Linked DNA regions of Caenorhabditis elegans. The protein of the gene in region 3 interacts with the protein of the main gene of each other region in a pairwise test. Each region holds a gene or a part of one and is shown on either strand. Other genes may lie near its edges.

Region 1 (8,652 bases), on a different chromosome or scaffold from region 3:
ACGGCCGGTTGGATCACGACCGCTCAAAAAGAAAAACCATTTGATTTCTTTTTTCAAAGAGCGGCGAGAACTGATAGGGCAGTATCAGCTGCTAGACAGGTTGGAGTTTACTAATTTGCTGCTGTTATCAGTGTTTTTTTCACTGAAAAGCCGAAAAACTTCATTGAAAAAAGGAAAAAATAGCGAATTTTATATCATTTTTCCAGATGTGCGGAATGCAACTACCCAGAGATGACGCCAAGTATCAAGCTGAGGGAGCTGGAATTCTTAACAACATTCTTCCAGCCGATATTCGTGTTTTTGGAATGCGTCGGACCACGAATTTCTTCCATCCACAGAAGCAGTGTGATCATCGAACCTATAGCTACACGTGTCCATCTTTTGTGTTTGCAAAGCCTACGGAGGTATAGAAGAGGCTAAATTTGGATTTTTCGCCGAAAATTAGCTGAAAAATTGAATTTCCCGGCAAAGTTTGACCGAAAATTTTAGTTTCACGCTGAAAATGTGAATTTTCTGCGGAAATAGACTGAAAAATCAAGTTTTCAGGCGAAAAAAGACTGGAAACCTGTATTTTCGGGCAAAAATTGATCGAAAAATCGAATTTCCCGCTGATATTCCGTGAGAATCTCTAAAAATTCTTGATTTTCCAGCTCACCAACTCCTCTTTCCGACTTTCCCCGGAAACCTTGGCAGAGGTGAACAGTATTCTCTCAATCTACCTCGGAACCCACAATTTCTTCAATTATACCGCTAAAAGAGCCTACGATGATATGAGCTCCAATCGATACATTATCTCATTCGAATGCAAAGAACCATTCCTTTTTCGTGACGATTTTCGTAAAGAAGACGTGGAATTCGTGCAAATTGTGATTAAAGGACAATCATTTGTACTTCATCAGATTCGAAAAATGGTCGGAATGGTGATTACAGTCATTCGGGAACTGCATTTAAAGTCGTCGATTCAAAGATCATTCGAGGGACAGCGAGTTCGTGTTTTTTTCCTGTTTTTTCGGTGTTTTTTCAACTTCAAACAGTCGAAAAAACACAATTTTTAAACATTTTTTCGATATTTTCGCGTCGAAAGTGTGAAAATATAACATTATTTGTGTTTTTTTAAATCTTTTTCACCAAAAAATATTTTAAAAACCCTATTTTGAAGCGGCAAACGCGCATCGTTGCGAGATCACGCGCACGAGGTACATGTCCCTTTAAGAATTGTGTAGATTTACGCAAGCGTGTACTCCTCGTGGACAATTTCGAATTATTTTCCGCAAAATTTAACAGTTTTCGCGCAATTTTGCCGCTTTTTCACGAGTTTAACACCTTTTTTAGACGAAAATAATTAATTTCTAACGAAATCCAAATGAAAAAGAGATTAAAAAGTGCAAAAATCTAGCATTTTAGCCGAAAACTTTTAAACTTAAAAAAATAAAAAATTTCAGATGGATATCCCAATGGCTCCAGGACTGGGTCTCCTCCTCGAGCGGACTCATTACGATTCCTACGATCGAAAGAATTCAAAATCCCACGAACCACTGACCGATTGGGGAGAGATCATCGAAAAAGAAATCGAGCGGACCAAGTTCGAGCTCATCACCAAGGATATGATCGAGACGGAGCTGCTCACTCAGGGAATGCTCAAATGGCTTGCGGATCTTGTTCATCACGACTTCACGGCTAATGCGGAAGCTGAGGAGCCCGAGAAGAAGACTTTTGTGACGATGGCGGCGGCTTGTGCGAGCAAGGCGGCCAAGGAGCAGGATGGTGTTGCTCCAGAGGCTCAAGATGCTCCGAAGGAAGCCGAGGCTCCAGCAGAAGTCACTCCTGAGCCAGTAGCAGCGACGTCGTCTGGATAATTTATAATTTTTGATTTAACTGCTGTAAAATTTGTTGTTTTTGTTGATTGATAAATTGTTTAAAAGTAAAAAATAATAATAATTTTATTATTTTGAGAGAACACATAATTCTCAGACAGACAACAGACGACGTACTACTTGGCATATTCAATAATTATTAATAAGTGGAACGAATGGAGGTGAGAGCCGCGTGGGCGAGCAGAAGACGTGAAAGAAGAAGTGCCTCGTGTTGGCGGCGAGCATCAGCGATGAAATCGGCAGCAACTCTACGGGTGGCCCCGTCGGTCAGCTGAAGAACACGAATCGCGTCGGACTTTTTGCCAGACTTCCAGAGTTGCTCGGCACGTGTGAGCAAGGTGAAGTTGTTCTCGACAGCTGGGGTCAGGCTGAAATTATAGTTTTTTTACAGATAGATATCATTTCAGACACTACTACCTCTCATTAGCACCCTTCTTCGGGACGAGCTCAATAGTCAGGGAAGACTTGAGCCACGAGTAGAGATGAGCCAGAGCTCCACCTTCATTGACATAGGCAACACGACGTCCGATTCGGCAGACTTTGTTGAAGCGTGTGTTCAGATCCTGCTCCGTGTACTCCCCGCGGACTTTTGAGGTTTTCGACATTGCCGTATTGATGGTTTTCACGAATTCATCAGAGTTTCCACCACCACAGCACGAGAGAAGTGTCTTCATTTGATCTCCCAGTGGAGCACGTCTTCCCTCCATGCAGCAGCTGGCTCGATTTCCGAAAATTACAGTTCCCTTCAGATTTTGGGTGGCTAGCCACATTTGTTTCGATCTGGAAAAATGGTGGGATTTTTTTCAGATTTTGATTCAAAACATTTTCGCACAAGTTGGCGGATTTTGATTGAAATTGTCGATTTTGGACTGTTTACGCTTGAATTTAACTAAAAAAAAAGTCAAAATATCAATAATTCATCGAGTTTTAAATGAAAATCGATATTTTGACTATTTGGAATGCTAAAATCAAGCAAAAATTGCCAAATACCAAAAATTTCAGCCAAAAATAGGATATTTTGGTCATTTTAAAGGGTAAAGAGCAGGAAAAGTACTCCAAAATTGAGATTTTCAGAAAAAAAACTTTAAAATTCTCGTCGTGTAGTACAAGAGCCCGCGTAAATCGACATTAAATCCAGTACTTTCTATTCTCAATATCCATTTGAAGATGTCCAGAAAGCGCTTTTTCAATTCCAGCCAGCTGAGCCAACGCTTTTCCGACCGCCGACGAGTGGAGCTGAAATTTTTTTCAATTTTTAAACAAATAAAATCCGGAAAAATCGTTAATTTTATACATTTCTCTCCTTCAGAACAGCTTCATCTACATCCTTCGCGTGCTCAATATCGTACAGCTGCTTCTGAGTTCGAACGACTTCTTTCAGCTTTTCGTCGTATTTTTTCTGAATTTCAGCAGTGGCACGAGCGAGCTCCGCGTCGAGCTTCTTCTTATCGAACTCTGGGATCACTGCGGCCTGTTTGGCATTGGTCTCGAGACGAAGCTTTTCGAGAAGATCTTCCTTCTTCTTTGCAATGATCGATTGGATGCGTTTTTCCTCGTTTAGCTGGAAAAAAATCGATAAAAAACGGGAATTCGGAGCTGAAACATTTAAAATTTGGTTTCTTTTTGAGGAAATTTGTTGAAAAATCGGGAAAATTAACATTTTTCATTGAAATCTGAAAAAAACAGATTTTCAAAAAAAGGCTTTAATTTTTGAATTAAGAAAATCATGTTTTTTTAAATTGAATTTAATTGTTAATTTTCTATAAAAAATTTTATATTTTCCGGAAAATCGGAAAAAATGCCAGAATTGCAGAATGACCGTGTAAAACTCTTCCAGCGTCTCGTGTAGATTTACGCCAATCGTGTACTCCCCGTGGAGAAGTTTTTTTTAAAGTTTTCAGCTGAAATTCGCGATTTTAGACCATTCTTGCCTGTTTTCAAAAGCCAAACCGACAATTTTCACATAACTATCGCTTTTTATTTTTTAGAGATACATAAAAACCACATTTTGCGGTTTAACTATTTGAAAACTGGAATTTTTCTTTTTTCTAGTGGAATAGTAAAATGTGATAAATTTGCGATTTGGCTATTAAATTTAGGTGAAAATAGTCCAAAATCAAGCATTTCAGCTGAAAAACTGTAATAAAACTTCTCCTCGGGGAGTACACGAGCTGCGTAAATCGACACACATAATTTTCAATTTTTTTTCGTTCTTTTTTCAAAATTTTCAGGAAAAAATGCATTAATTCACAGGAAAAATTCGAAAAATCGACTTTAGAGGAGAAATTGAGATTTAAACGCAATTTTCTTTACAACTATGCCAAAAAAATGAATATTTGCCTTGCTATCAATCAATTTCTGGCTGAGCTGATCAATTCTCAAGTGAGCATGAGCCAAAATCGTGTGCAAATCCGCTTTTTTGATCTTCATTCCATCTTCATAATTCAAATTCGGATGAACTGCTTTCAGTTCCATTTGGAATTTCCTGCGGCTCTCCGCTACACGATCACTGTAGTCATGCACGAAAATACGCTCCGAATCGACATGTTTCACGTTTGAAATCATCTCATCCAGCTCGTTTGAGAGCTTTTCAGCAGTTGCTTTTGAGATTGGAACCAGTGGATTCAGCTGAGTAGTCTCACCTTGACCGCCGAGGTTTGCCTCCGTGACAAGGTCAGCGACGGCATTTCTAGCCAATTTCTCGGCTTTTTCATCCTTTTCAGCGAGCCGTTTTGCCTTCAGATGAGCAACAGTCACTGAATCCCAATCTCCGTCTTTTCCAGCTTCAATAGCCTCACGAATTGTCTGAACGTGATGCTCAATAGCTCGAATCGTTTCCAATTTGGCGCTAGTCGCAACTTTCGTGGCTTTTTCGGCTTGAGTTAGGTGGTTTTTCAGGGATTCCGTGAGCTTTTCGTTCCTTTCCTGGGGATTCAGTGGAGTCTTCGCGCCGATGTATGGATTTTCGGGCTTTTTCTCGATTTTCTTTGGTTCAGTAGTCTCTTTCAGGTTCTCCTTAACTCCGATCAGCTCTTTTTTCACGGGCTTCGGCTCAAATGGCTTTGGTGGAACTTTCGGATCTGCGGAATATTGCAGAGGTCGAAGATCTTTAAGACGAGGCGCCGGCGGTTCTTCTTCTCCGATCGTGTAATTCAAAATAGTTCGAGAACCGGGAATCACGCCTTCTAGCTGGAATTTGATTTTTTTTTTGTTTTTTTTTAATTTTAAATTTTAAAACCTTCTTTCTGAACTCATTATCATAAGAAGCGTATCCAGCAACTCCTGCTGCACCAGCAGTTACCGCTCCAACAGTGGCTCCGACAAACTTGAGACCTCCCGAAGAACCAGTTGCTCGAGAAGAAGCCAGTCGCTGAGTCTGAAAGTTCCCGAATTTGATTAATATTTAATAAATATGAACATACCAATAAATTACGACTTCCACGCATGACTTTTGAATTAAAAATCTGAAGAATAACACTCAAAACCGCTCGAAATGATTGAAAAATTGGAAAAATTATATAAAAAAGATTTTTAAATCTGTTTGACGTGTCACGTACTTTCGTGTACACGGTCACGTCAGAATGCAGATTTCAAAGTCTACCGTAGTCCTGGATTGTGAACTCGATAGATTTTTTGACATTTTTTGGCAAATTTCAGCGAAGCAGAAGAGTCTTCATTGGAAAAATGGTTTCCTCTCAGCTAATTGATTTCAAATCGGCACCCAAGCGCGCACAAAAGCTCATCGGCAGCGACTTCATGGTGGTTGCTGCATAATTTAATCTGGCGTTCTAACTTTTTAGTTTAATCTGGCGTTCTAACAGCGAGATTTTCCAATATTTCAAAAACAATTTTTTAGGTTCGATTTCTAATTCGAAAATTTGAACTTCCAGAACAAAACAATCTAGCTGAAATAAATGTTTGTCTTAAGTATTTTCCAAAAAATGCAAATTTGCTTCAACAGGACAGCTAGATTTTCCAATAATTCAAAAACAATTTTTTAGGTGCGATTTCTATAGTTGAAACTTGGAAAATGATTTTTCTCAGAAATTTGAACTTCCAGAACAAAACAATCTAGCTGAAATAAATGTTTGTCTTAAGTATTTTCCAAAAAATGCAAATTTGCTTCAACAGGACAGCTAGATTTTCCAATAATTCAAAAACAATTTTTTAGGTGCGATTTCTATAGTTGAAACTTGGAAAATGATTTTTCTCAGAAATTTGAACTTCCAGAACAAAACAATCTAGCCCTAACAACTTGTGTCTAAATTATTGGAAAATCTAGCTTTTCTGATGGAACAATTTTGGAAGAAAAAATAAAAAAATTTGTTTCCTCATTTGTTTCGATCAAATTGTCATTGTTTGTTTGCAAAAAAATATAAAATATATTTTCAGTTACACCAATTCATTCAATAAAGAAAAAGTAATAATTCAATCAAAACATACACATATATAAATAAATCTTCGGGCGTATCATTAGACAAGAAAATCTGATGAAATTTCAAACATTTTTTGCGGTGAAAAGTGAATAGAAAAGAACAAATTTTGGTAAAAATTGGACAAATTTGGAAAAAAATCGGGAAATTTTCGAGGATCATATGGCAAATTTTGTGTGCGCTGGGTGGGGGTTGGATTCCGATTTTTTGGTGAAAAACGGGGAAAAACGTAAAAATTAGGAGGATTTTTCGACTAGGAATGTTTTAAGAAATGGGTGTGGGAACACAGGGAATGTGAGTGAGAAAATTTGGAAAAAAAATTATGAAACAAGAAAAAACGAAATAAAATTTAAATGGATATGTGACAAGAAGATGCAAAAAATATGAAAAGTTTCTCTGGGGGTCCTGCTGCTGGATATTATACGTAGACCGGAGTCACATTGTGCTCTTTTTCGTAAGCCTGCCACCTCACATCATCACTTTCATGAGTTACGAATCGTTGACCGACAGCTTTTTCCAGTACTCGTAGATCCGACCATAGGGTGTAGTTCTGAAAAAAAAAGTTTTTCAATTTTTTCGTAAAAAAATTAATTTTCGAAATTATTTTTTATTGAAAAACCAACAAAAAAAAAATGCATTTTTTGCAATTTGTATTATTTTTTTTCAAAGGATTTTTGCGCTTAAAACAATTTTTATTTATCCTTAAAAAAATGTTTAAACCGATTTTTCTGTAAGTAAATTTTTTTTCGGATTTTTGGATTAAAATTATTTTTTTTTGCAATTTTTCTTTACTTTTTTTGGATTTTTCTAAATTTCATATGATTTTAAAATGATTGCAAATTAAAAAAATACAATTTTTTTCTAAGTTTTTCGGATTTTTTTCCCGATTTTTTGCAGGTAAAACTTTTTTTTGCTATTAAAAAAAAATTTCAAACATTTTTTCTAAATTCGAAATTTTTTAAAGCCGATGTTTCGGATTTTTTCAAATTAAAAAAAAAGAGATTTTCGTATTTTTTCCTGATTTTTGTGTTTTTTCCCCAAATTTTGAAAATTTTAAATTTTCGTTAAAAAAATATTTTAGAATTTTTTTTCACAATTTTTACAGTAGAAAGTAAAAAAAAGTTCAGCTTTCAATTCACAGAAAAAATCTTTAATTTTCTTTTTTTAACTTTTTCAGCTCGAAAAAATTTTCGCTGCGAGACCCAAAAAAGGTCTCCATATGCCTACCTGCATCCAGATCTGCGACTGCGCTTTCGTCACCGTATACCGCTTGCTCATCTTAACTTGGAGCAGTCCGTTGATGAATTCGATAGCTGCAAAAGAATTCAATAAATCTCACAGATTCTTTTCTAACAAAAGTATTCGCCCTACCATTCTCAGAGATCTCCTTCCACGGTGTCGGCGGGTACATGAATTCGGCGTTCTGAATCTGATCGTTGATATCCTCGTCCTCGTTGAACGGGAACGTTCCCGACAGTGAGACGTAGACAATCACACCGACACTCCACATGTCGAGCGATCGATTGAATCCCTTGTTCCGTAGAACTTCAGGCGCCAGGTAGGCAGGCGTTCCGACGACACTCCGCCTGAAGCTCTTCTCTCCAATGATTCGAGCGAATCCGAAATCGCAAAGCTTGACTTGTGGGAAGTCCGAGTTCGAGTTGAGAAGGATATTCTCCGGTTTCAAGTCACAATGCACAATATTCAAATGATGAAGGTAACGGAGAGCTTCAAGGATCTGAGCCACCAGGAACTGCGTAGTCCGTTCCGAAAGCCTTCCTTTCTCACTGGACAAGATCATCTCCAACATGTCACCCTTCAGCTTCTCCATCACAACAAAGATCCGATCAGTCGTCTCAAGCATCTGCATGAAGTGAACCACCCCAGGATGGTCGACCTTCTCCAAGATCTGCACTTCAGCCCGCAACAGATCCTCCTTGTTCGGCGGGAATTTCAGCTTATCGATGAGCTTCACGGCGACGTGTTGACCATTTCGTCGGTGGATTCCTCCGTAAACAGTACCAAACTGTCCGGATCCGAGGACTTCTTCAGCGAATATTTGATAAAGTTGTGAGAATTCGTGTTCCGTTTGGATTTTCGCGCCAAGGTGCCCAGTTTCTCCTGAAAAAAAACAAGATAGTTGTACGTCATCATCGAATTCGCCAAAAAAAATTGTGCAAATCCCATTATTTATTTGTTAAAAAACAGTTCTACTGCAACTAAAATTCGCCAAATTTTCTTCCGGCAGCAGTGGCGCGTGTTCAAAAAACAGGAAAACATGTTGATTTCAGAATCCGTCTCCCCCGATCAATCTTCACCTAATTGTGTCGCAATTTAACGACGGC
Region 2 (7,730 bases), 120 kb from region 3:
GAGCTGATGGTAATGCAAGCGCCGATCGTTCGCTTATTTGCCACACTTGTCTCGCTTGTAATCTACTTTGAATATCAAGATCAGGGCCTTGTGTGAGTAATTTCAAAAACTCTAAATGGAATTGATAATCAGAAACCTGCTGCTTCCAAATATATTGTTTAAAACGTTGAAAAAAAAGAAAATGTTGTGGCTACAGTATCCACGAGAATGTTGCAATTCTCCCCCGAGTTATTCAATATTTTCTGACATATTTGCCATTAAAGCAATCTACTTATTGAAGAAAAACTGAATTTATTTTTCTAAAAGTCTGCCCATTCCTAAATTTCTAAATTTGATATCTCCATTTAATAATTATTTTTCATTTCAGCCCACTAAAAGTGCTCGACTTTATCACACTTCCATCTCTTTTGGCAGGAATCTACGGAACTCACATATTAGTCACAACGGTTTCTCGGATGGTAAGAATTAAATAAAAGCTTATTCTATAACTTTTCATTAAATTTCAGGATGAATTAATCTCGTACAGATATGTTGTTGTATTCCGTCTTCTTGATTTCTTCTTCATGGTGTTCGGATTGCAACAACCAGTTTTTGATTTTCTCGCGAGATATGGAGCATTTGGATGTGGTACTGTACTTCCAGCAATTGAGACTTCTTTCTGTGAGTTTGAATTAAATATTACTCAGATGCGAAGTTTTTGCGATTTTTGCGCCAGGTCTCGGCGCGAAAATTTTTTGTTAAATGCGAGAAGGTGTTCTCCTTTAAAGAGTACTGTAATTCCAAACTTTCGTTGCTGCGGGATTTTCATCGATTTTTCTTAGTTTTTCTCTGGAAAAGTAATAGAAAGTACACAGCAAAAAAAGTTTGAAATTACAGTACCACTCTTTAAAGGCCCACATCCTTTCGCATTTAACAAAAATTTGTCGTGTCGAGACCAGGTACCGTACTTTCGGAGTAAAAATCACAAAACTTCGCGATTGAATAAAAAAAAAATCGAATTATCATTAAATCCAATTTAATTGCAGACTGGAAGAACTTCTTCACAGTAATTGAAGCATTCTGTGTCACATTAATCAGCACTGTACTTCTACAACCATCAAAATCATCATTCTTTGACAAACATCCAAGCTGCCGATCGATGAGCTCTGCGCGGAGCACAATAACTGATGTGGACACTGACGAGTCGACCACTTGAGAATATTATCATTTTCTTCATATACAATAGCTTTTCCCCCTACTTTCTCAATCCGTGATCCTCTTCCACTTTCTATTGCATTTTCTAGTCAACTGATGTCAACTAACTTTTCATCCCTTTGTCTCACCCGTTCGTCCTGTGTGCAAAATGTCTTTGCTGGAATTTGCAACAACCGAAAATTTAAAAATCCCAAAACGTGTAGAACCTCAACCCCCAGAAATGGAAATAAACATTTTCGAACTCAATAAGACTTTACCCTCGCATTTATTATTGTGCTTCAGGAACAGGAAAAAAAACGAAAAAAGACAGAACCAGATAAGAATACGTGCCATTGCAAAATTAAGAAAACGAAACATTGTAATCTACCAGTGTAATTTAGGGGTTTGCTTGTGTGCATTTTTTCTTTTTGAATCTAGACATATTGATTAGGTGATGAAGTGGTGTGGGTGGGGAATGGACACGTAATGGAAGCAAATAAAAAAACAGAAAAAAATTTGATATAATGATTGTCAAAAGATCAACAGATTGTTTCAGAAGGGAAGTATTATAACAAATACATAGAAAAAAAGGAAATCATAAATAGAAAAGTGCGTTAGAATGCCGAGAAAGAGAAAACTGACAGAAAGGCCACAGCCGGACAAATTAAGGTATGGGTGGAACTTGGAATTAAGTTCAAATGACAAAATCCGGGGGCAATAGGGTCACATATAAAATGTTTTTAAAAAATACTGGAGTTTATTGATGTCCTCCAGAGTTCTGTTGTTGTGGAGCTCCTCCTTGTTGCTGCCAGTAGTTGGACCATTGTTGCATGAGTTGAGGATTATTGTAGTATTGGGCGTAGTATTGCCAATACTGACTGTTGGCATTGGATTGCTGTTGTCCAGGTCCTCCATGGCCTCCTCCTCCTTGACCACCTCCGTAAGCTCCGCCACCACCATATCCAGAGTACGGCTGTGAGTTTCCTCCAGACGATGAGTTTCCATAACCGTAACCATAAGATCCTCCAGGAGTTTTTCCAGTCTGAAATAAGATTTTCCTTACTAAAAAAATTAATCAAAACGCTTACGTCTCCAGTTTTTCCCCAGCTACATCTAACAAGCTGTCCTCCGACATCTTGGTTGTTCATCTGGACAATAGCCTTTGCAGCGGCATCTTTGTTGTCAAACTTCACAAATGCATATCCTTGCATCTTGAAAATGCGGACTTCGGTAATTCGTCCAAAGCTGGCGAATCCTTGGCGGATTTCATCTTCTGCAAAAAACATTATAAATTCGACGTTAGAATTTTTCAATGAAAGTATTATAAAATATTAAATTTTTGTTGACTTACCAGTAAGTGAAGCAATGTTTCCGACGTAGACTGAAGTGTTATCTCCAGAAGTTTGATTGTAGATCTCATCGTATGACTTTTCATTATAATGGCTTGGTTTCTCTTGATCTCCTGGCTTTCTTGTAGCCCAATTGGTACGGATAGTTCTTCTTCCGAGCCATTGTCCATTCATTTGCTCAATAGCACGCTCAGCTTCTTCTCTTTTCGGGTATGAAACGAAACCATAACCCTTTGACTTAGTGGTGTTAGTGTCACGGATCACTTTGGCGTCCGAAACATCTCCAAATGGTTGGAAAGCTTCGCGCAGTTTTTGGTTATCAACTTCGGACGAGAGATCTCCAACAAAAACGTGGAAATGTCTGGTAGTGTCAATTTTTGACTGCTGCTGCCCCGGCTCCACGGCCCAGTTGACTTTCATCTCCTGAAAATAACAAATTTGATTTTGAAATAGGTTTTCACATTTACTTTTTTTTATTTATGACACATAAACGAAATTTAATTTTTTAAGCAAATAAACTATATTGCTAACACTTAAAAAAATACAAATTTTACATCGGAACCCAGTGGAATCATATCGAAATTTTGTTTTTTATACAGGAGTTAATTTGTCGTTTCAAATAAAACATACTCTATCAAGAAGAAGTCGCTTGTTCATCGTCTGAAGAGCTTGGGAAGCCTGTCCATGATCAGAGAACTCAACGAACGCATATGGATCATTAGAACCCTGAAATGAAAACGTTTGACTAATACTTTGATTTCCCGGGTTTTCTCTCAATCTCTATGAAAATCTATTCAAAACGCATGTTTTCCTCTTAGTACTTAATTAAAACAACAAAAAATTCAAAAGAAAAAGGTATACACTGTCTCAGTGTCGGTGTGGATTGGTTGCCGCCTTGTGCATTTGTAGCCAGGTACCCCAATTCCTGTGAAATTAGAAAACATCATAATCAAAAAGATTCACATTTAAAAGTAAAAATAAAAGCGGATAAAAATCATACGTACCGCGAGCAAGCAAGAGTTTTCTGTAAAGATTAGTCTTGTTCCAAAGCGAAAAACTTACGTCGAAAATAACTTTGGTCTTTGTAACCGATCCTATTTGATTGAACAAAGTCGCTATAAAGTCCTCAGTGACTGTCGAATCAAGATTTCCAACATACCTGCAACAAAAGAGTAAATTAATTGACAATTTTCAACAAGAAATTCGAAACTTTCCAATGTACCCAACTTACAAAGTTCTTGGTTCATCTGAACCGTTTCCGAGATGAAATCCCTCTCTTTCGGCGAGTTTTGAATGCATTCGGGCATTGTAACCAGTATTGACGTCGTCATTGTAACCATGGTTGGAGTTTGCTGGTGGGTTGAAGAAGGACATGGCTTAAATGATAGATCCCTGTAAAAAAGAAAACGAATAAGAAGATAGAAAATAATTTATGTCGTAATATCGTAAAGAGAGATAAACGTTTAATAAATACTTAAAAAAACAAAGAAACATGCAAAAAACCAATAAAAACAGTGCGGGAACGCTGCGTTCACATTCAAAACTATGCTCGCAAGTGTCGTCTAGAGCGTTGCGGTCAGTGCGCTGCGTGTCACCCTGCGGATCTTACTCAAGCGGCAATTCAAAACAGAGTTTTCAGTTTCGAATTTCTGCAAATAATTTTAAGTTTCAGCCCGTTCCTCCGCAAAAATGGTGAGTATTTTAAAGTTTTAAAACATCAAATCAATTTAGAATTCATTCCAATCAAACAATAGGCGTAAAATATGTTTTCATTCATGTATAAACGTTGAAAATCCATTTTTAGGGTTTAGAATAGTAAGAAATATAATTTTGTCGTTGATAGTGAGAAGCTGACCACTCGTTTCATAACGTATCTGTAAAGAACATGCTTAATATTAAGAACTGGACGTCTAGTACTCACGATGAAGTATGAAAAATATAACTATCGCCAAAATTCCTAGCAAAATCAAAAATCCCACTAAGATCAGAGTTGAACAAAAGCATATTGGTCCAGAAATGCCACATATATTTTTTTCTCTATAGTAACGATAATGCTCATGCGGCATATCTCTGTAAAGTACAGATATCATAGAAATTTGATTCTAAAACTTACGTTCCATAGCTCTCAATCGTGGATACTGTAGGTGTTCGATCTTTAGACTTATTCATTTTCATTAAATTTTTCTGAAAAATTGTTTCTTATTGTACAAAAAATCGAAGAAAAATGAGTCACATCGCACATACCATTGCACTCCGACTCTTATCAATTGATAGACTAAAAACCTATTCATGTGTTTGTTCAAAGAGAAAATTCAATCTAAATAATGTTTTCTGGGGGTCTCTTCGTAAATTTTCGGGTCAATATATCTTTATGCTGCTTCCGATAATCGTTTTTCTCTTCAATTATCAGTTCAATTTAAAAAAATGAAGAACATTTGAGATTTTTTCGGGTTTGGACGCAGCATTATGAACGAGAAATCTTTTGTGGAAGAGAAATTTCAATGCGCCGCAGTTCGGCCAAGAATTTATTGGCTGTTTTTTGGGAAGACACATTACCGATATAAAATGTTTCTTGTCAAAGTTTCATGTATTAAAATACTATTTATTTTGTTAATTTTTTAGTGCAAGCTAATTATTTAAAAACTTTCAGCCAGCCGTCTTCTCATTGGTGCTCGATTCGATGTGCAATAATAATTGTTAATAATTTTTTTGTTTTCATGTATTATATTTTTCTTGTTCTTGTGAATGTTTGTAATAATAATTTGTTAATTTTTTACTATTCTTCGATCTTCAAAAGAAAACGTTTTCAGCGTTTTTAATATTTTATAATTGTGTTTTTCTAATTTTTAATGGATTTATTGATTATCGATTTCAGATGGTTCGTAAAATGAATAAGCTCGCCAAGCGGCTCGCCAGCACTTCAAAAAGTCGTCAACCGGAACCAGAAGTGAGGAAAATACTTTGTTTTAAAAAATAATTCAAAATTTCAGAGCGATTCCGACGGATCCGAATTTGACTTCGATAATGCTATCGAGGAAAAACCAATGGAAGCGATGGATATCGAAGAGGTTGAATCAGACGGCGATGACGATGAAAGAGAGGTGAGAATTACTTTTTTAAAAAGTATTTTCAAAAAAAAAAACTGATTGCAGCTCCAAGCCGCATTCGCTGCTGGTCTTCTTAAAGATGGACTCAACATTCAAGTAGCCAAAAAGCGTCCGATCATCAACAAAAGTGCTGAAATGAAAGAAAAATTGGCTGAAATCACAAAAGATCTTCCATGGGTTGAGACTCTTGAAGTGGTAACTCCTCATTCTGAAATGGACAAGAAAGTGGAAAATGACGACTTCCAAAGAGAGTTGAATTTGTAAGTTGCACGAGGGTTGTATAATTTCGAAAATTCTAATTTTTTAAAGCTATAAGCAAGCTGAAAAAGCTGTTCAAATCGCCTATCCACGTCTTCTGAATCTTGGTATCAAAGTTCTGCGACCAACAGATTACTATGCAGAGATGGCAAAGAGTGACACTCATATGCAGAAAGTTCGCAAGAGACTTCTCGGAATTCAAGAAATGAAGGAACGACAAGAAGCATTCCGCCGTATTCGTGAAGAGAAAAAGTTTGCTGTTAAGGTTCAGAAGGTAATGGTTGTTCAAAAAACCAGAAAAATTTCAGCCTAAAAATTAATTAAAATAACGGAAAAATAACTTTAATTTCTAATGGTTCGATTGGACAAACACTCAAAAATGTTTGCAAGTTGAAAGTTGCAGGATAAAATTTTTTTGCAGCAATATCCAACTTTGATACAGTTTTTGAGCACTTCGCAATTGTTTCAAACTGAAATAAAAATCTATTTCCAGATAAAACATTTTTTCTATTTTCCATCACTAAATTTAAATTTAAAATATTGGTAAAACATGCTATTTACTCTGATTCGTTTTGTAGAATTTACAAAAATAAAATCGTTGAACATGAATATCATTTTTTTCAGGAAGTTCTCGCTGCCAAGAATACAGAGAAAAAGAACCTCGCAGAAGCTGTGAAGAAGCACAAAAAGGGAATGAAACAACAATTGGAAGATATGCTGAACAACGTGAAAAGACATGGTCTTGATCAGGATGATGACGCACCGACTGGAGCATTCGGTGACCGTCTAGGAGGAAGAGGTGGTGCCGGAAGAGGTGGAGCTGGAAGAGGAGGATCGATGAGAAACGCAGGAGAACTCAAAAGAAAACTGAAATCGGATAAATTCGGTTATGGAGGAAAGAAGAAGGGAATGAAGAGAAACAACAAGGAGAGGTAAGAAGCTTCATCGGTCTTTCCTGAAATTATTTTATTTTTTTCAGCTTCAATGATCTGTTCGGAGCTCCACGCGGAGGATTCGGTGGACGTGGTCGTGGTGGTGGACGAGGAGGACGCGGTGGACGCGGAAGACGTTAAGCAAACGTTAAGCCTATTTTTATATTTACAATTTATGAACTTTTGTTACATCATTGTTGATTTTTCCTTGTTATGGATTTCGATTTTCAAAATTTTGTTCTTACAGTTATCCCATTTTTATTGTTGATCTTCTGATTTTAGTAATGTCCAATAAAATAATTTGTTGTTGCAAGCATTGAATAACTTCCAAATCGTTTTTTAATCGATCTTGTATTTTTTAAAAAGTCCAACCAAATCAAAATCGCTAAGCAGATTTTTCAGAAAATGCACTAAAAATGGAACAATTTTTGTTTATGACAACATCAGCTTTTGCTGTTTTCATTCTTCTTCTGATCTCAACATCGATACCGTACACTTTTCTAAGGACATGTTGTGTGTCAGTTTAAATTCCAAAATAACAAATGAAAACTAGAAATTTTTTTTTTCAGAAACGCTTCAAAAACATCAATCTCATTCCTGGGATGTGCTTCATGCGGTGTCTTCATTGCCACGTGTTTCCTCGGACTTGTCCCTCATGTCAGACATCAAGAAATGCATTTAAGAGGGAATCAGACGATAGTTGATAGTTATGGATGGATTCCATCGACTGATCAATTAGTTATTATTGGATTCCTGATAATTTTGATAACTGAGCAAATCATTCACGGAATCGGACATTCAATCGGAAATGGCCATTCACATTCAGGACACAGCCCACTGGCAACAAGTGATTCAATTAAAATGAACAAGTTCCACGATGTAAGCTTTTGTTTTTTGAATTTCCCGGGTTT
Region 3 (8,186 bases):
TCCGAAATGAGATGAATATTGAGATGGATGCATGGAAGGTAAGTAAATATAAAGTCCGTTATATGTTATATAGTAATAAAAATGTGAAATTTTAGTTTGAAACTGACAGTCTCTATCGTGATATGCAAAAGTTCGGCCGTGTTAAACGTCAGTATGGAGGATATGGAGCTTCTGGAGCCAACCCAACACCTCACGGTGGATTCCCAGGAGGCGCATCCCCAATGAATCCAGGAAGCTTCCCAGGAGTTGTCGGAGTGCCACCACAATTCAACCCAACACAAGGAGGAGAACCAAATCCAGGAGGATCTTGCAACTGCCAGGCTGACAATTCGTGCCCAGCTGGACCAGCTGGACCAAAGGGAGCTCAAGGATCTGACGGAATCGACGGAATTCCAGGAGTGCCAGGAATCGATGGACAGGATGCTGACGATGCTCAAGCTCAAACTCAACAATATGCAGGATGCTTCACTTGCCCACAGGGACCACAAGGACCACAAGGACCACAAGGAAAGCCAGGAGTTCGTGGAATGCGTGGAGCTCGCGGACAAGGAGCCATGCCAGGACGTGACGGAACTCCAGGACAGCCAGGAAGCCTCGGACCAGTCGGACCAGTCGGACCACAAGGAGAACCAGGATCAGAAGGAGAACCAGGAGCTGATGTCGAACATCAAGTCGGACTTCCAGGACCAAAGGGAATTTCTGGACCAACTGGACAACCAGGAGATCAAGGACCACAAGGAGATACCGGAGCTCAAGGTATTCCAGGAGCACCAGGAGAGCGTGGACCACGTGGAGACAAGGGAGATAATGGAGAGAACGGTTCTGCTGGAGCACCAGGAGAGGAGGGAGAGCCAGGAACTGATGCCGAATATTGTCCATGTCCTCAAAGACAGGAAAGTGCACCAGTCAATGGAAACCAGGGATACAAGAACAGACGTCATTAGATGCGATTATTTATTTTTCTTCTCTTAAATATTTATATAAATTTTTCAAGCAAGAATCTTACGTTTTAAAACTTTAAAAATCATAAAATTGAAACTCACTTGTGCAAAACAAAATAGTCGATAGCTGCAGGAACTCTTCCAATTTCGAAAATATGATCCATAATTGACAACAAAGCGCGAATCCATTTATTTTGTAACAACTTGACAACATCCCTCTTCTTTGCGATGGCATCCATTTGTGTTAACAGGAATACACGATTCCAAGAGTTTTCAATATCTTCCCATAACCAAATATGTCTTCCAACATCATCGCCAATCACTGCTCTCACTATTTCCACCTCTTCCATATTTTTATTTAGTCGAGCCAATGTCTGTAAAGGATCTTCCAGTCGCTCAGCACGAAGTTCGTCGAGATGACAAGCGTGATCTCTAAGAAATTGTTTCACCCAATCACAGAGTACAGTAATCAGTGTCGGAAGCATCAGTTGACTGTGTTCTTCACATCTCTCCACAAATTCACATATTTCGTTAAGCTTCCGATGAGTTCGAGTGAGGTGGTCGGCCAGTGTTCGTAGCTAAAATAACTTAAATAATTGATAGAAGAAATATTAAAAATTTACATAAGATTTTTGAATATTCGCATACGGAGATTCCATTGGAAAATAATAATCCGAGTTCACTTCAAGACCACCAGACGTCAATCTGTATAGAGGCATCGACACACGATCAGTGCATATTCTTCGTTGAGTATTTTTCTGAATTATAACGTTTATTTTTGATAAAAATTATTTTAGTTTTTGAACTAACTTTAACAGGTAAATCAATAAAGTCGATGAGATGAACAGCGAGCCGTTGTTGAGTGAGCAAATAACTGTCTGTTCTCAAAATAAAATGATTAATATTCGTTTTTGAAAATCCGAATTTCTTACCCATTTCTTTGATGTTCCATACTCTTTCTGTACTCTTGACATCGTTTTACATTGCTATCATGAAACTTTTTTATTTGATGATTCTTACGAGATGAGTTGAACTTCTAAAAAAAAACAGTTTATAAAAAGTTTTCGTTCATCTTCAATTACCTGTAGAACAGCTGGAAACGGATCTCTAGGTGTCGTGAGACATACTGCAGAATCAGCACGTGAGATGTCTCCGCTTCCTCCTTCGTCACGATCTTCTAGACAAGAATTGTAGAACATTGTCTGAAATTTGTTCTAACTATTTCTATATTTGGTTCCCTACAGTACCTCCTGCGTGCATTGATCGAATTCCACAGAAATTCCAACATCGTCGTCTTCATTCATACCTGAATTATATTTTCCTATTTTCAAATACCACAACACATAAATAGAAATTCTGATGAATATAAATACAGATAATTGAATATCTTCTCAAAAATCAAACGACAAAAATTTATTCGAATTATTATTCGTCTCATAGAAGTATCATAATCAAAACACTAAAACTACTGAAATTGTCTAGAAATAACGAGAAAACAGCTCATCAAAATATCTACATTGAACCGATTACCAATCGTTCGAATTAAAAGCTATAGGACTGAGTGAATAAGGGGAAAAGCACCAAAATTAGTTAAATTCAGACTAGTCATTTTCATGGCGTTGGCGGAGAGTCCGATCGGAGATAAGAAGATGCAAATTGTTCGAGATTTCGGAGAAGAAACACTGCTTTTCCTCTGAAAATTAATTTTATTAATTCTTGACACAGATCTAAGAGGACATACTTGATTGTTCCCAATGTTCGAATTGTTGAATCAACTGCATCAATTTGTGTCTTCTGTACATCCAAATCGTTTTTCATTTCTCTATGGACTCCACCAACAGTTGCTTTCAATCCGTCAAAGACTTGGTCCATTTCTCTGAAAACAACAAATTGAATTGAAAACTATACGGTTTAAAAAATACCTGATAGCTTGTGTTTCACAGTGATGAGTATGAGCTGTTGAAACTTGTTGCATTCGAGCAGCTAAATGTGATCTGAACTGTTCTTTCAAATGTTGTTCCTTGGCTCCCGAATTCCAGCGCATTCGTTCCCATGCATATAGTCCAGCGTAGGCCGCTCCTCCGACAGCAATTACTCTCCAACCAACAGCCTTATACACAATACCACCAACAACTAGCACTCCAAGACTTCCGTTTGCTAAAAATGCGGCTGATGTCAAAACCATTTGAGTCATCATTGCCTGTTCTTCGGAAGCTGCAGAAGCTTCTGCATCTCTCACTGAATTCTTTTCGGATTGTTGTTTTAGTGATAATGGAGTAAGCAAATTGGTGTTGATTGCAGTGACAGGTTGGCCGCTTCGATACGCAATGATGCGACGAATTATTGCGTGTAGACCAAATGTGAATCGGAACTCGAGGTCTTCATGGAAATCACTGAAAAATGTAAGAATGAAACACAAAAAATCCATCGAAACTCACTTGACAAGAGCAGGGACATCGACACAAATGCTAAATTTGAAAGGAGCACGATATCGCCACACTTCTTCAAGCTTATTCTGATAAGGTTCGGCGAGGATTTTTGTCACATATTCTGGAAAAAAAATTTTTTATAACACATCAGTTCCCAGATAAACACTTACGGAACATATCATTCTCCAAATTCCAAATTCTTGACATTAGGCCACCGGTACATCTAGCTTCCAAATCACTGCTCAAACATTTGTCCACAAAGATTGCCAAATCCTCTTTATACTTTGTCATTCCGGAAGAGCTTCCATCGAAAGGTTGTTCAAATCGATCAATTATTGCATCAAGTCGTGCTATTTCTTCAAAGAAATCAGCAGAAACTTTCAGATGAACTTCGGCTCGCAGTTGCTCTGTCTGCTCACGGTAAGCTTTTTCAAATTGAGTGAAGTTTACACGGCATTCATTGAAAGTCCTGGTGGATTCGTTTAGATTATTCTGAAGCTTGCTTCTCTGCTCAGCTGCAGAGGTTAGCACGCTATTCAGATTGAGCCGCATTTTTCCGATCATTTCATGAGCTCTCCTGTTATGAGCTTCGAATTTCGTGTGAATCGCCGATCGAGAGATACAATGCTCAAAATGTCGTTCGAAATTTTGGAATTCCAAGGCTCTTGTGCCATGACCTTCTGCTTGATAGGCTTTTTGTACCAGTCCCCTAGCTTTTAATCGTGATTCCAAAACTTCTCTCGATGAAACAAAGAAGATTCGATCATTGACTTCTCTTTCTGAGCACACTTCAAGCTCATCGACCAAAAACTGACGGAATCTCGTCAAATGCTGCTTTTTTACATCTTCGATGTTTTCTGTTTCTGCTGCACTGGCGTCCCATCGATTATTGAGAATAAATACGTTGGGCTTGCTAAGCTTCTTCGCGACTCGAAGGAAGAAGTTCTTTTCGGCTTGTGTCAATGTTGATTCCGCATTTGATACAAGCACAAATACATCTGCATCTAAACAATGTTTGTCAATCCAGCTATCGAATTCTGGAGAAAGATCGACACCAGGGCTATCAAGTATGACGACGTCGTTTTGAAGAAGTCGGCATTCCCCTGATTCCGATTTCTTTGGATGAAACACTTTCAAAAGAGAATCCTGTCCCATTGCCGGAAGATCTGAATTTTCGTCACTCAGTGCGTGTCCAATTTTTCCAAGCATTTTCATATCAATCTTTTGGGGATTATCATCTAATTGTAGATGGCCAACTTCGCCTTCTGAACCTTCAACCTGGAAATTTCAAAAATTTACAATAAAATATGAAAAAAAAGTGATTCTCACCTGCAGAAAGCAACATGTTGTATGTCCCATTCCCTGGGGCAACACTTTCTCATGAAGCATCGCATTGATAGTTGTACTCTTTCCGTTGCTGGTTCTTCCGAAAAATACAACCTTCATGTTATCTCTTTGAAATGTGTCCATTATAGTTTTGATTGAATCGCCAATTGCTTCGATTTCTTCCCGCTGTTCAGAACTAACAAAGTCGTTCTCTTTAATATCTGGAACTTTTGTGGGTTTATATTTGCGGCGAAGTAAAAAACAGAAAATACCTTTGTAAACACCTTCTAGTTCAGCCACATTGTCTTTCAGTTCTCCATAGACATCCCCAAGAACCTTTTTAGCTTCTCGAAATCGAAGAAGTGGTTCATTATCGGCAGCACGACGCGAATTTTTCACTGAAAAGTTTATTGCATTGTTTTTTGAAAGGTTGAATAAACATACAGCTGTGAAGTCCACGATGATTAGAATCACCACTGGCCGGCAGAGTATGAACTAAGCTTGCTGTGCCAGACATTACCTGAAAACTTAAATATATTTAAAGTCTCATAAATCAGCCGGAAATTCGATTCGAGGATTACGAAATCGCTTAAAAGTCTAGAAAACATTAAATCTTATTTGAAATATCGAAAAGGTTATACAAACATCAAATTATTCATTGGAATAATAAAAAAAAATGAAAAGGAACACTCGAATTATCAGAGAATTTCCATTTCTGTCTCCGTCGCGAGCAAAAAAAGAATGTTCACTGGAGCGCGCTCTCTGTACACAAAAGAATCGATTATCGGGAGACAACGATTTGTGAGAAAAATTAGTTGTCTATCGAACTATTTTTGATTAAGAAAAGTTACTGTGCTTTAAATTGCCGTTTTAAACATTAAAAGATATAAATAAACTTTATGAAAGCAGTTTGTAGAAAATTTGTGAATAATGCTTGCTGCAAATTTTTTAATCAGCAAGCCCCCGTTCTTGAAATTCTGCAGTGTCTCTTCTTAAACTTCTGATTGCTTTTTGGATTTATATATTTAGAAAGCAAAAACAATCGAAACATTTCTATTGATTTAGCGGTATTCTATTAAGTTTGAAGTAAAAAAAAACATAAAAAACATTTATTCACTAAATAATTCACTAAAGTACACCGTACATGCAATGAGACCGGATGCAGGAATGCAGAAAAATCATAATTATAAATAGGAAACAATATTCAGGAACAATCCATATTGTCGTTGAAGGTACATTCGTCATCCGAAAGGCTTAACGGAATTTTTGGGCGATTACTATTTGGCTTGGTCGTCTTGACTACGTTTCCATTTTGAGATGATTGATATGTTGATGAGGGATATGTCTTTCTTGGTTTAAATGATTCCGAGTTTGAGGAAGACGGTTGAAGAGTGATCTCGTCTGCTAGTGGGATCGATGGTCGAGATTTTCTGGGAGCCTGAAAACATATTTTAATTTACAAAATAATAATTTTTTGTTACCTCTACTTTGTTTTCTTTAACAAAACCAGCATTGCGACCAGCATCTTTTTTGGCTAAGTCGTTGATCCAACTTTCCAATTCGCGATGTTTCTTTACACTTTTAACAGCTTCGTTCCTTTTGTATTTTATGTCGTTGCTAGTGTATTTGTTAGAATGAGAATTAGCATGATGTTCTTTCCTAGTAGTTTGTCTTCTATCAGAATTCGAAGACTTCCTTGAACTATTTAGTTGATCCGAATCCGTTTGTTGTTTCTTCCGACCATGAATGGTGTCCATGAATGATTTAACTGTCTCAACGTGCAGATCATGAGTCAGTGCTTTGTTTGAAAGATTCACATCCTCGGTGACGAGTATAATAGCACGATCATTGAGGTTCATTGTAGATGGAATTGACATTACTGAAAATTGTGGTATATTCTCGAATCTTAATTTAAGAAAAAAACTTACTTTCTCTTTTTATTCGCAATGCAGTTCTTAGAATCAAATCATCTACAACAGTTGTGTTTGCACTGAAGCCGTTTATCTGAATCTGTTGCTCTGTGCTCGTCTCGACATGCAAGTACTGATTCTTCTCTTCCAGAAGATCTTTTATACTATTATTTGCACAATTAGCTACAATTCGAGTGTGTCCTGATCCGTTTTTAAGACCATCTAGCTCAGATAATGTAAAATATGGAATGACTGTGAGAATTTGTTCTGAAAATAATAGAAATTTCAATAATAATATCATTCTCTATATTTTACTTTCGATGGAAGCATTGAGAACATCAGGATTTCCCAGAAGAGCACAGGTATCGAATATGGCACACGCACGATAATGCAAATCTTTGAATGGTCGAACTTCAGAAGACCATGGAACACGTGGTAGCATTTTATTGGAATGAGATTCTACCTGCAACTGATTTTTATTTTAAAAGAGCTTAATAATTATATCAACACTAACGCCACTGCAGCTGGGAATGTCTTCTTTTTTCGTTATTCTCTCCGAACTGTCCGATCTTCTTGGCCTCTTCCATGAAAACTCTTCATCATCCAACTTCTCCATAGACTTCCGCTTTGGCGGGGGTACCACATCGACTTCCTAAATTTTAATGAATAAATTAATCTGTTAATTGATAATTAATAGTTACCATTTTATCATCATCCATGGTCCCATGGATATTTTCCTCTACATCTTTCCGTTTTCTCGTTTTCGCTTTAACCGGAGATTTTTCCTCATTTTTTCGGGTGTTTGGATGATCCCATAAACTTTCTTTTGTCTTATCATTCGTATAAAACTTCCGTTTCTTTTCCGTGTGCCACCAGGCTTTCCATGGAGGTGATACATTTTCCGTTTTATCATCTAACCTAACTTTTTTTGGTTTTTTTGGAGAAGCCATTATTTGTACTCTGAAAACTGGTGAGGTCCTAGGAATAAAATCATTCGTGGGAAACAAAGATAAATTGAGCAGCATGGTTAAAACCGATATAAAACAAGCGATTTTTGATTAAAAACATTAAAAAAAAATTATAGTTTATATACAAGTAAAAATTCATAATTTAATAAAAATTACACATTTCCACTGAAAAGACGATTCGCATTTGCCTCAATTAATTGGAATTCTGGTGTTTCTAATCGATCACTGAGAAACTTCCTTTCATCTTCTGTTAATGTTTCTTCAAGGCGTCTCAGTGCCATCAAAATTTCAAATTTCCTTTCCAGATACCCTTGCTTCGGCATTTTTTGAGATCGGTAGTTGGTTTCTGTCTGAAAATTAAATTTTAAACGATAATATCATTGAGATTAGTTACCATCATCAATTTTTCTCGTAAAAGACCAGTATGTTTTCCAGCAAATAAAGCCATAATTTCAGGTGTTTTGAAGGCTTTACTTATTGCTGTTCGAATCGCAATTTTAGTCGCCGTGAGATCATCAATTAAAGAAACATCTCCGCCTTGCAGGCGTTCGACTATTTTTCCATATTCCTGAAGTTGATTTACAGTGTCTTCACGCAATTCCCTGTATTCGT
Region 4 (6,567 bases), on a different chromosome or scaffold from region 3:
AAAACTCGGGAAAAAGCGTTTTTATCAGGGAATAAATCAAAAATATTGATGCTGAAATTGTTTTTTTTTAATTCTTGTTTGTTGCCAATTTGCCGGAAATTTCAACTCCGGCAGTTTGCCGGTTTGCCGATTTGCCGGAAATCTTCAATTTCGGAAATTTGCCGGTTTGCCGGAAATCTTCAATTCCGGCAATTGGCCGATTTACCGGAAAATTCGATTCCAGCAATTGGCCGATTTACCGGAAATTTTCAATTCCGGCAATTCGCCGGTTTGCCGGAAAAGTTGTTTGCCGCCAACCCCTGACTGGGAATCCCGGTGCCAGGCTGTCCCATTTCGGTGTGATCTACAATAAATGCGGGAACTTTTTCGCCAGAAATATGTGACGTGAACATTGCCGGAATTGAAGATTTCCGGCAAATCGGCAAATTGCCGAAATTGAAATTTCCGGCAAATCGGCAAATTGGCGAAATTTAAATTTCCGGCAAACCGGCAAATTGCCGGAATTGAAAATTTCCGGCAAATCGGCAGATTGCTAAAATTGAATTTTCCGGCAAACCGGCAAATTGCCGGAATCGAAATTTCGGGTAAATCGGCAAATTGCCGGATTCGAAATTTCCGACAAACCGGCAAATTGCCGATAATTTTTCCGTTTTTTACGTATGACTGATAATTTGAACACTTACATTAAGATTTTACCATGTTTCAGGTTATAAGAAAATTTTATTTTTCAGATTTCCGATTTTTTCAATGAATTTCCTTTTTTTTCATCACTTTTTCTCGCTTCAAACATTGAAATTTCGATTTTTTCCGCAAAAAACTCGAGAAAAATGCGAACTCTCGTAAATCGACACACGCGGCGCGCTCCAATGAGAATGTCCCTGGCGCGCGTTTGAAAATGGTTTTGGGGAAAGAAACTCGCGATTTCGAGCAGAATCGGGCAAATTTGGAGAAATTTCCTAGATTCCGCTTAAAAATAACTCACTATCGAAAGAATAAATCACGTCGATTAGAAAACGGCAATAAATCAGTGATAATTCTGGCTTTTTCTGGATTTTCTTTCGTATAAATATTTGAGAAAGCAGGTAGAAATTCAGAAAAACGTTGATTTCGGTGAAAAAAATCGCTGAAATCGCTACCGACGTCACCAAAGAAGACATAAGGGAAGGAAGTTGTGACTTTTTTGTTTTCGACGAATTTTTTGGTTCAGCTTCCAGTCGAATGAACAATTTTGTAGTGCGAAGTACAAAAAAATGTCTGAAATTAATGAGATTTTGTTTGTCTTTTAGTTGCGACGACGATAAATATATTTTTATATTTTGAAGACGAGTCCAGAGGACGAGCGAGATGCAAAAAACACAGACCATGGGGGGGGGGGGGGGGAGAAAAATTCAAATAAAAATCAAATAATGGGTGAAAAACCGGGAGCAATCAAATAATTAGCGCATCTGAATGACTCCAGCGTCGCGGAGCTTCATGAGTTTCTGAAAGATCTCCGGATTCTTCAAGTGCTCTCGCACGGCTCCCGGGTCGTTGCTCATCTGCTCGAGAATCATACGCATTCCTGGGTCGCGGAGAATCTCCTGAACTTCTGGATCGGCGAGACTTCTCTCCTTGGCCTTCTCGGGATCCTCGTCGTTGCTTCGCAGACAGTTACGCACACCTTCACGGGCTTCTTCGTTGGATGGGTCGACTTGGAGAGCATCTTCGTAGGCTCGCTGAGCCTTCGACCACTCACGCATTGCGACGAGGCAAGCGGCTTTGCGGATGTATCCCTTGACTGAAATAATACAATTTTTAGTTAATTCTGAGCAAAAAAATTAGAAAATCGTACTAAATTTCGAGTCCAGCCGAATACAAGTGTCACAATCATCAAGAGCTCTCTGGAATTCCATCAATTTCGTCAGACACGCGGCCCGGTTTGAGTACAAAATCGCGTTCTCCGGATCACGCTTCACCGCTTCGTTGTAGTGCCTCATCGCTGTCGGATAGTCGCCCTTCTTGAAATACTCGTTTCCCTTGTTCTTCTCCTCCTGGGCAAGCTCTGGATTGATATAGGCAAGACGCTCGGCCGCCTTCAACTGCTTCTCGAGCTCCTTGACTTTCTTGACAAGCTCGGGGTCTCTGAACTCGGAGAGCGAGCGGTGGAACCATTGGACGGCTAAACTCAAGTCATTCTGCTTCTGGAAAGCGTTTCCGGCACGAGACATGGCCTTGGCGATAAGCTTGTAATCGGCACGGGTCTCGCGTCCAACTTCGACGGCTTTCTCGCAGAATTGCACACATTCCGCGAATTTTTTCTCCTCGAAATAGACGGCTGAAATTCGGAAAATTAGGGAAAATCTACAGTTTTTTTTAAATAAAAACCTACCGGCTTTGTTGTTGTAGAAGGTAATATTACTAGGATCAAGCTCGATCGCTTTGTCGTAGTGAACATGAGCTTTTTCAAAGTCCTTTTGCTTGTAGGCAGCATTTCCGAGATCTTTTTCAGCAATCGCCTGAAAATAGGGAATTTTAGTTGAATTTTATTGATTAATTGTTGAAAAACTTACGGCGTCCGTCATTTTTGCCGAAATATTGAAAAAATCTGAAAAAAAAATGAGATAAAAGTGAGCAGAAACGATGAAAAGAAGGAAATGAATCGAGAAAATGAGGAATTCTTCGAGAAAATTTGCCAATGGCAAACGCGCTCTATTGAGCGAGCGAGGCAGAGAGTGTGCGAAGGAGAGAGACGCAGAGAAAATAATCGCTTGGCGGGAGACGCTTGAATTTTAAATAATACCCGTTTCGTTTTAGATCGATTTTTATACATAAAAATATAGAAATTGATTAGGAAATTTAAAAAAGAAAAGTAAAGGCGCCCGGAATACCCAATGTGAACTGGATTTCACGATAAAAATACAGATACTCCGGAAAATAACGAGCATCGAGTCAAATTTTGAATTTTTCTGAATTTTGCTCCGAATTTTCCCGAAACTAAACAAAATTCTGACTTTTGTTATCATTAATTCGCGGAATAATGAATATTTTTGGTCAAAAATATGGTACCAGGTCTGGACGCGACTATTTTTGTTTAATGTAATCGGGTGTGCTCCTTTAAAGATTACTGTAGCGTCAAACTCTTGTTGTTGTGGAATTTTCATCGAGTTTTCATATTTTCGTCTCAACTGTTATTATTTAATAAAAAGACTTGAATAAAACAAATAAAAACACGTAAATTCTAAAAAAAAATCGATAAAAGTTCCGTACCAACAAAAGCTCGAAATTACAGTACTCTTTAAAGGCGCACACCTTTTCTCATTTGACAAAGGCTTGTCGTGTCGAGACCGGCTACCGTATTCTTGACGCAAAATGTTTACTTTAAAAGATAGAAAATGAGCCGTAATGACCGATTTATTGTATATACTTTGATGTGTGTAAATTTTCAGACATTTCTCTCGTGGTGTCATAATGTCCCATATCGTTGTGATCTACAAAAATTTTAAAATAATCAGATTCTTGCAAAGTGTAAAAACAAGTTTCGATTAAGTTATACAGTCCATTTTCTATCATTTAAATTGAATGTATTATTATTGAATAGTAACCAGTGCTACGGATGTGGGAAGTGTAGCATTTTTATTAGTGAATGGGCAACAATCTGGAAAATACACTCAACTTATTTGGCTGGCAACTTTTACTCACGAAATATTGCTTCACGGAAAGCCTTGATCACTAAAATTGTTGGAAGTGAGTCCAAGACTGGGTATAGAGCAACCGTCACACCAATTATCTCGCCAAACACTGGCCTTCCACAATGAAAAAAAGGCGCCAGAAATAGGACGAACGATGGCAACTGTATGAAAAACGCCGGGACAAGTGATTGCAACACCAAAGAATTTAAAAGTTGCAGTTGAATTGAACGGAATTTTTCGGAGTGGGAAGTCAGCTCGGTTAGCTTGGAGACCTCTTTGTAGCTTAAAGTTGCAAAAATGACAATCATTGCGAAGGAAATCGAGATCAGTGTCGATGCAATAGACATTCCCAACATTGTTCTCCAATTTATAACTTCATTTCTATTTTCATCAAGTTTCCAATAGTTGGGCCCAATATATGTTACGTCGGATATGTTTAACTTATTCTCGCGTAAATACCCATTCCTGAGAAGTTCAACAGAGTACAACAAGCATTTCATTTTACTCACCCCTGTAATATCTGTTCAGTATCCGTGTTGACCCATAGTGTACAATATAAATTGACTGCCCAGAGGAAACCGTAGATAACAGGAATCAAGAGCCAGATCAACGTTTTTCGGAGTGATTTTGTTTTAAGAAATGAATGGCTGAAAAAGGTTAACGTTTTAAAATTTTTATTATATTAATTCCACAATTTTCAAAATTTTTCTAGAAAGTTTTATTTTCTCAGAAATTGAATTTCTTGCCAAAATTTTTTCTCATAGTCAGAAAATTTGAATTCCCGCCAAAACGAATGGCTTTAGCCATGATAGGTCTCACCACGACTTTTCCTTTAAACTTCAGTGAATTTTTTCTAAACTATAGTAATCCTACAGTACCCTTACAGTACTGCGACCATCTAACCCCACTAAATCCAAACCAATATCCTCTCAAAAAACGAAAAGTCAGATATTCCAAGACTACAGTAATCCTACACTACCTCTACAGTACTGCGACAGTCTAACCCCAAGCCAATATTCTTCCTAAACACGAAAAGTCAATTTTTCCTAAACTACAGTACCCTTACAGTACCCCTACAGTACCCCTCAGATAGACTGGAGTCACGGCAGAGCGATAGAAAATCACTGCTAATTAGCATTTATGTCACGGCTTAGTCAACCGCAGTAATTGTGCTTTTCCGCTGATTAGCGGTGATGTTTTGCTACGTAGTTATGCTTTCTTGCTAGCTAGTTTTGCTTTCATATTGGATTAAACTTTTATAAAACCATAAAAAATAACACGATTTATTATGAAAATGAAACAAAATGAAAAAACAACAGAAAAAAAACATTTAACGAAAAATGGAAAAAAAAACAAAAAAACAAGTTTCGAAAGTATCAGAAAACAGGAGAACTAGTGAATTTATGGGGAGTCTGGGATATTTTCCCTTCCAGCAGATTTCGAAGTTGATAGAGAGTTCGAAGATGATTGAAAGTTCGAAGTTGATGGAACTTGCTCCTCATCGATATCCTCGCTGCTCTTGTAGAATTGTGTGCAATCGATGATGGGACGCTTTGGCAGCACAATTTTTGGTGGATTCTGGCCGTCGTGTTTTGTTCGATACAAACCACGGGCATGATCGCTGCAAAAAGACATTTGTGAAAACATAGTTTTTCAAGTTAAAGAAAAATTCTATTCGCTGGCTTTTTAAAGTAAATAACAAGAAACCTACAATCTGACTTTGATATGATGCTTGAACAGCATATTGACCACACTTGGAAGGCGAGTAACGTCCACCTGGTCGTTGTCCAACTTGATTGCCGCAGCGAGAAGAGCTGAAAACGATTTTTATGTGGCTCGCCCATGTAAATCATAAACTAACCGGCTGGCCAATTTGTCAAGTCTCCTGGGAAGAAAGTAAGAGGCTCCGTCTTTTTGCTTGTCGTGAAGGATCCTTGTTGCTCTCTCGGAATCAGCTGAAATGTTAAATAGTCAAAAATAGAACGTAATATTTGATCGCTCACGTAGTCAATCCAGTGATTTGACATAGCATTGACAATTGATCTAACCGAGCCATGTTGAATGCTCAGCGCCGAAAACACGAGATTGACGTTGATAAACACTGAAATAGAATGTTCTTGGGGGCGGTTTTTATTTATGTTCTTGGTATACCAGTTTGATCCAAACTCGAAACTTCCAGCAGTTTGTGGTTCAGAAAATCGTTAGGGTTCAATTTTGCCATTTCTTCACCCTGTAAATAACATTTTCAAATGCTCAAAATCGTTCCATTCTTATAAACATACAAGTAAACGATTCTTCTCCATTGGTTTACTTTTCGGGTGCATTGATCGCTCAGTAACCAGTTCCTGCTGAAATTTTCTCCAATATTAATTGCAAATTCAAGATAGTAACTAAAACTGACCATGAGCATAACACCTCGAATTGCACCCATTGAAGCTTTAGACCAAGCATCCGGAGCAGTGCGGATCAACTCGTCAATCGATTCATAACTATAGTCAATTGATCCTCCAACGTTCTCTCCGAGTCTTTTCTAAAAGTCAACAATTTTGATCATGCCAGATTTTTGGAAAAAAAAACTTACCAAGAATCCTGGAGTTTGTTCGGTGGGGAGTGTGTGAGATGTAAGTCCTAGATCTACAATACAGATTTTTCCGCCTTTCTGAAATTAATTTATTTCCGAGCAACTCGAAATTAGCAGAAGTAAACACCTTCGCAATTGGATGCATATCCGGTTTGAACGATTTTCTAGGCAACGATGGACTTGATTGCATTGGCTCATGATTTGGTTGCTCCGGAAGAGCAATTTCCAGATGAGATTCTTCTTGTTGCTCCTCTTCAATCTCAATCGGCTCCTGTACAGGTTGCTCCATAAACTCTTCGTCATCTACGATCGTGATTT

What was found.
Region 1: the proteins of fzo-1 (region 3) and immt-2 interact in a two-hybrid assay, tested with the Caenorhabditis elegans proteins (one large-scale study listed by BioGRID).
Region 2: the proteins of fzo-1 (region 3) and tiar-1 interact in a two-hybrid assay, tested with the Caenorhabditis elegans proteins (one large-scale study listed by BioGRID).
Region 4: the proteins of fzo-1 (region 3) and sti-1 interact in a two-hybrid assay, tested with the Caenorhabditis elegans proteins (one large-scale study listed by BioGRID).

What each region holds. Positions count from the first base shown.
Region 1 is NC_003283.11:16,786,047-16,794,698, reverse strand, and holds immt-2 (MICOS complex subunit MIC60-2), read right to left. Parts: upstream 5,433-8,652; 5' UTR 5,321-5,432; coding exon 5,297-5,320; intron 5,251-5,296; coding exon 5,113-5,250; intron 5,064-5,112; coding exon 4,215-5,063; intron 3,436-4,214; coding exon 3,169-3,435; intron 3,111-3,168; coding exon 3,016-3,110; intron 2,655-3,015; coding exon 2,292-2,654; intron 2,243-2,291; coding exon 2,014-2,242; 3' UTR 1,926-2,013; downstream 1-1,925. Other genes in the region: pus-1 (Pseudouridylate synthase 1 homolog), read left to right, coding at 1-99, 207-404, 651-986, 1,443-1,856; Serine/threonine-protein kinase dkf-2, read right to left, coding at 6,726-6,857, 7,535-7,620, 7,679-8,428. UniProt on the Caenorhabditis elegans protein: Sustains mitochondrial morphology probably through maintaining cristae morphology. May act as a component of the MICOS complex, a large protein complex of the mitochondria.
Region 2 is NC_003280.10:5,710,910-5,718,639, forward strand, and holds tiar-1 (Cytotoxic granule-associated RNA binding protein tiar-1), read right to left. Parts: upstream 3,915-7,730; 5' UTR 3,897-3,914; coding exon 3,754-3,896; intron 3,682-3,753; coding exon 3,585-3,681; intron 3,448-3,584; coding exon of another isoform or gene 3,384-3,447; intron 3,249-3,383; coding exon 3,153-3,248; intron 2,946-3,152; coding exon 2,525-2,945; intron 2,447-2,524; coding exon 2,262-2,446; intron 2,216-2,261; coding exon 1,931-2,215; 3' UTR 1,442-1,930; downstream 1-1,441. Other genes in the region: osta-2 (Organic solute transporter alpha-like protein 2), read left to right, coding at 1-92, 368-458, 507-660, 1,026-1,195; lelo-4 (Late ELOngation arrest), read left to right, coding at 4,015-4,214, 5,173-5,341; C18A3.10 (uncharacterized protein), read right to left, coding at 4,386-4,396, 4,444-4,592, 4,636-4,691; C18A3.3 (putative rRNA-processing protein EBP2 homolog), read left to right, coding at 5,398-5,469, 5,513-5,623, 5,675-5,889, 5,939-6,161, 6,512-6,819, 6,867-6,960; zipt-3 (Zinc/iron permease), read left to right, coding at 7,236-7,336, 7,389-7,698. UniProt on the Caenorhabditis elegans protein: Acts downstream of ced-9 in the induction of germline apoptosis under different stress conditions including starvation, osmotic, oxidative, heat shock and UV stress.
Region 3 is NC_003280.10:5,830,988-5,839,173, forward strand, and holds fzo-1 (Transmembrane GTPase fzo-1), read right to left. Parts: upstream 5,217-8,186; 5' UTR 5,214-5,216; coding exon 5,141-5,213; intron 5,095-5,140; coding exon 4,969-5,094; intron 4,918-4,968; coding exon 4,700-4,917; intron 4,649-4,699; coding exon 3,541-4,648; intron 3,492-3,540; coding exon 3,380-3,491; intron 3,335-3,379; coding exon 2,864-3,334; intron 2,818-2,863; coding exon 2,683-2,817; intron 2,635-2,682; coding exon 2,553-2,634; 3' UTR 2,341-2,552; downstream 1-2,340. Other genes in the region: gtap-1 (Dynein heavy chain 7, axonemal), read right to left, coding at 1,044-1,519, 1,565-1,699, 1,752-1,824, 1,874-1,977, 2,024-2,143, 2,189-2,245; col-74 (Nematode cuticle collagen N-terminal domain-containing protein), read left to right, coding at 1-38, 96-944; ZK1248.15 (WW domain-containing protein), read right to left, coding at 5,901-6,134, 6,178-6,575, 6,625-6,873, 6,922-7,069, 7,121-7,258, 7,308-7,556; ZK1248.19 (Beta-catenin-interacting ICAT domain-containing protein), read right to left, coding at 7,727-7,924, 7,969-8,186. UniProt on the Caenorhabditis elegans protein: Probable transmembrane GTPase. Mediates mitochondrial fusion. Fusion of mitochondria occurs in many cell types and constitutes an important step in mitochondria morphology, which is balanced between fusion and fission.
Region 4 is NC_003283.11:769,585-776,151, reverse strand, and holds sti-1 (Stress-induced-phosphoprotein 1), read right to left. Parts: upstream 2,635-6,567; 5' UTR 2,562-2,634; coding exon 2,550-2,561; intron 2,496-2,549; coding exon 2,369-2,495; intron 2,315-2,368; coding exon 1,832-2,314; intron 1,778-1,831; coding exon 1,437-1,777; 3' UTR 1,377-1,436; downstream 1-1,376. Other genes in the region: srbc-58 (Serpentine Receptor, class BC (Class B-like)), read right to left, coding at 1-51, 983-1,157; str-238 (Seven TM Receptor), read right to left, coding at 3,567-3,634, 3,679-4,133, 4,178-4,315. UniProt on the Caenorhabditis elegans protein: Plays a role in gonad development. Up-regulates longevity and thermotolerance. Binds daf-21/hsp90 and inhibits its ATPase activity.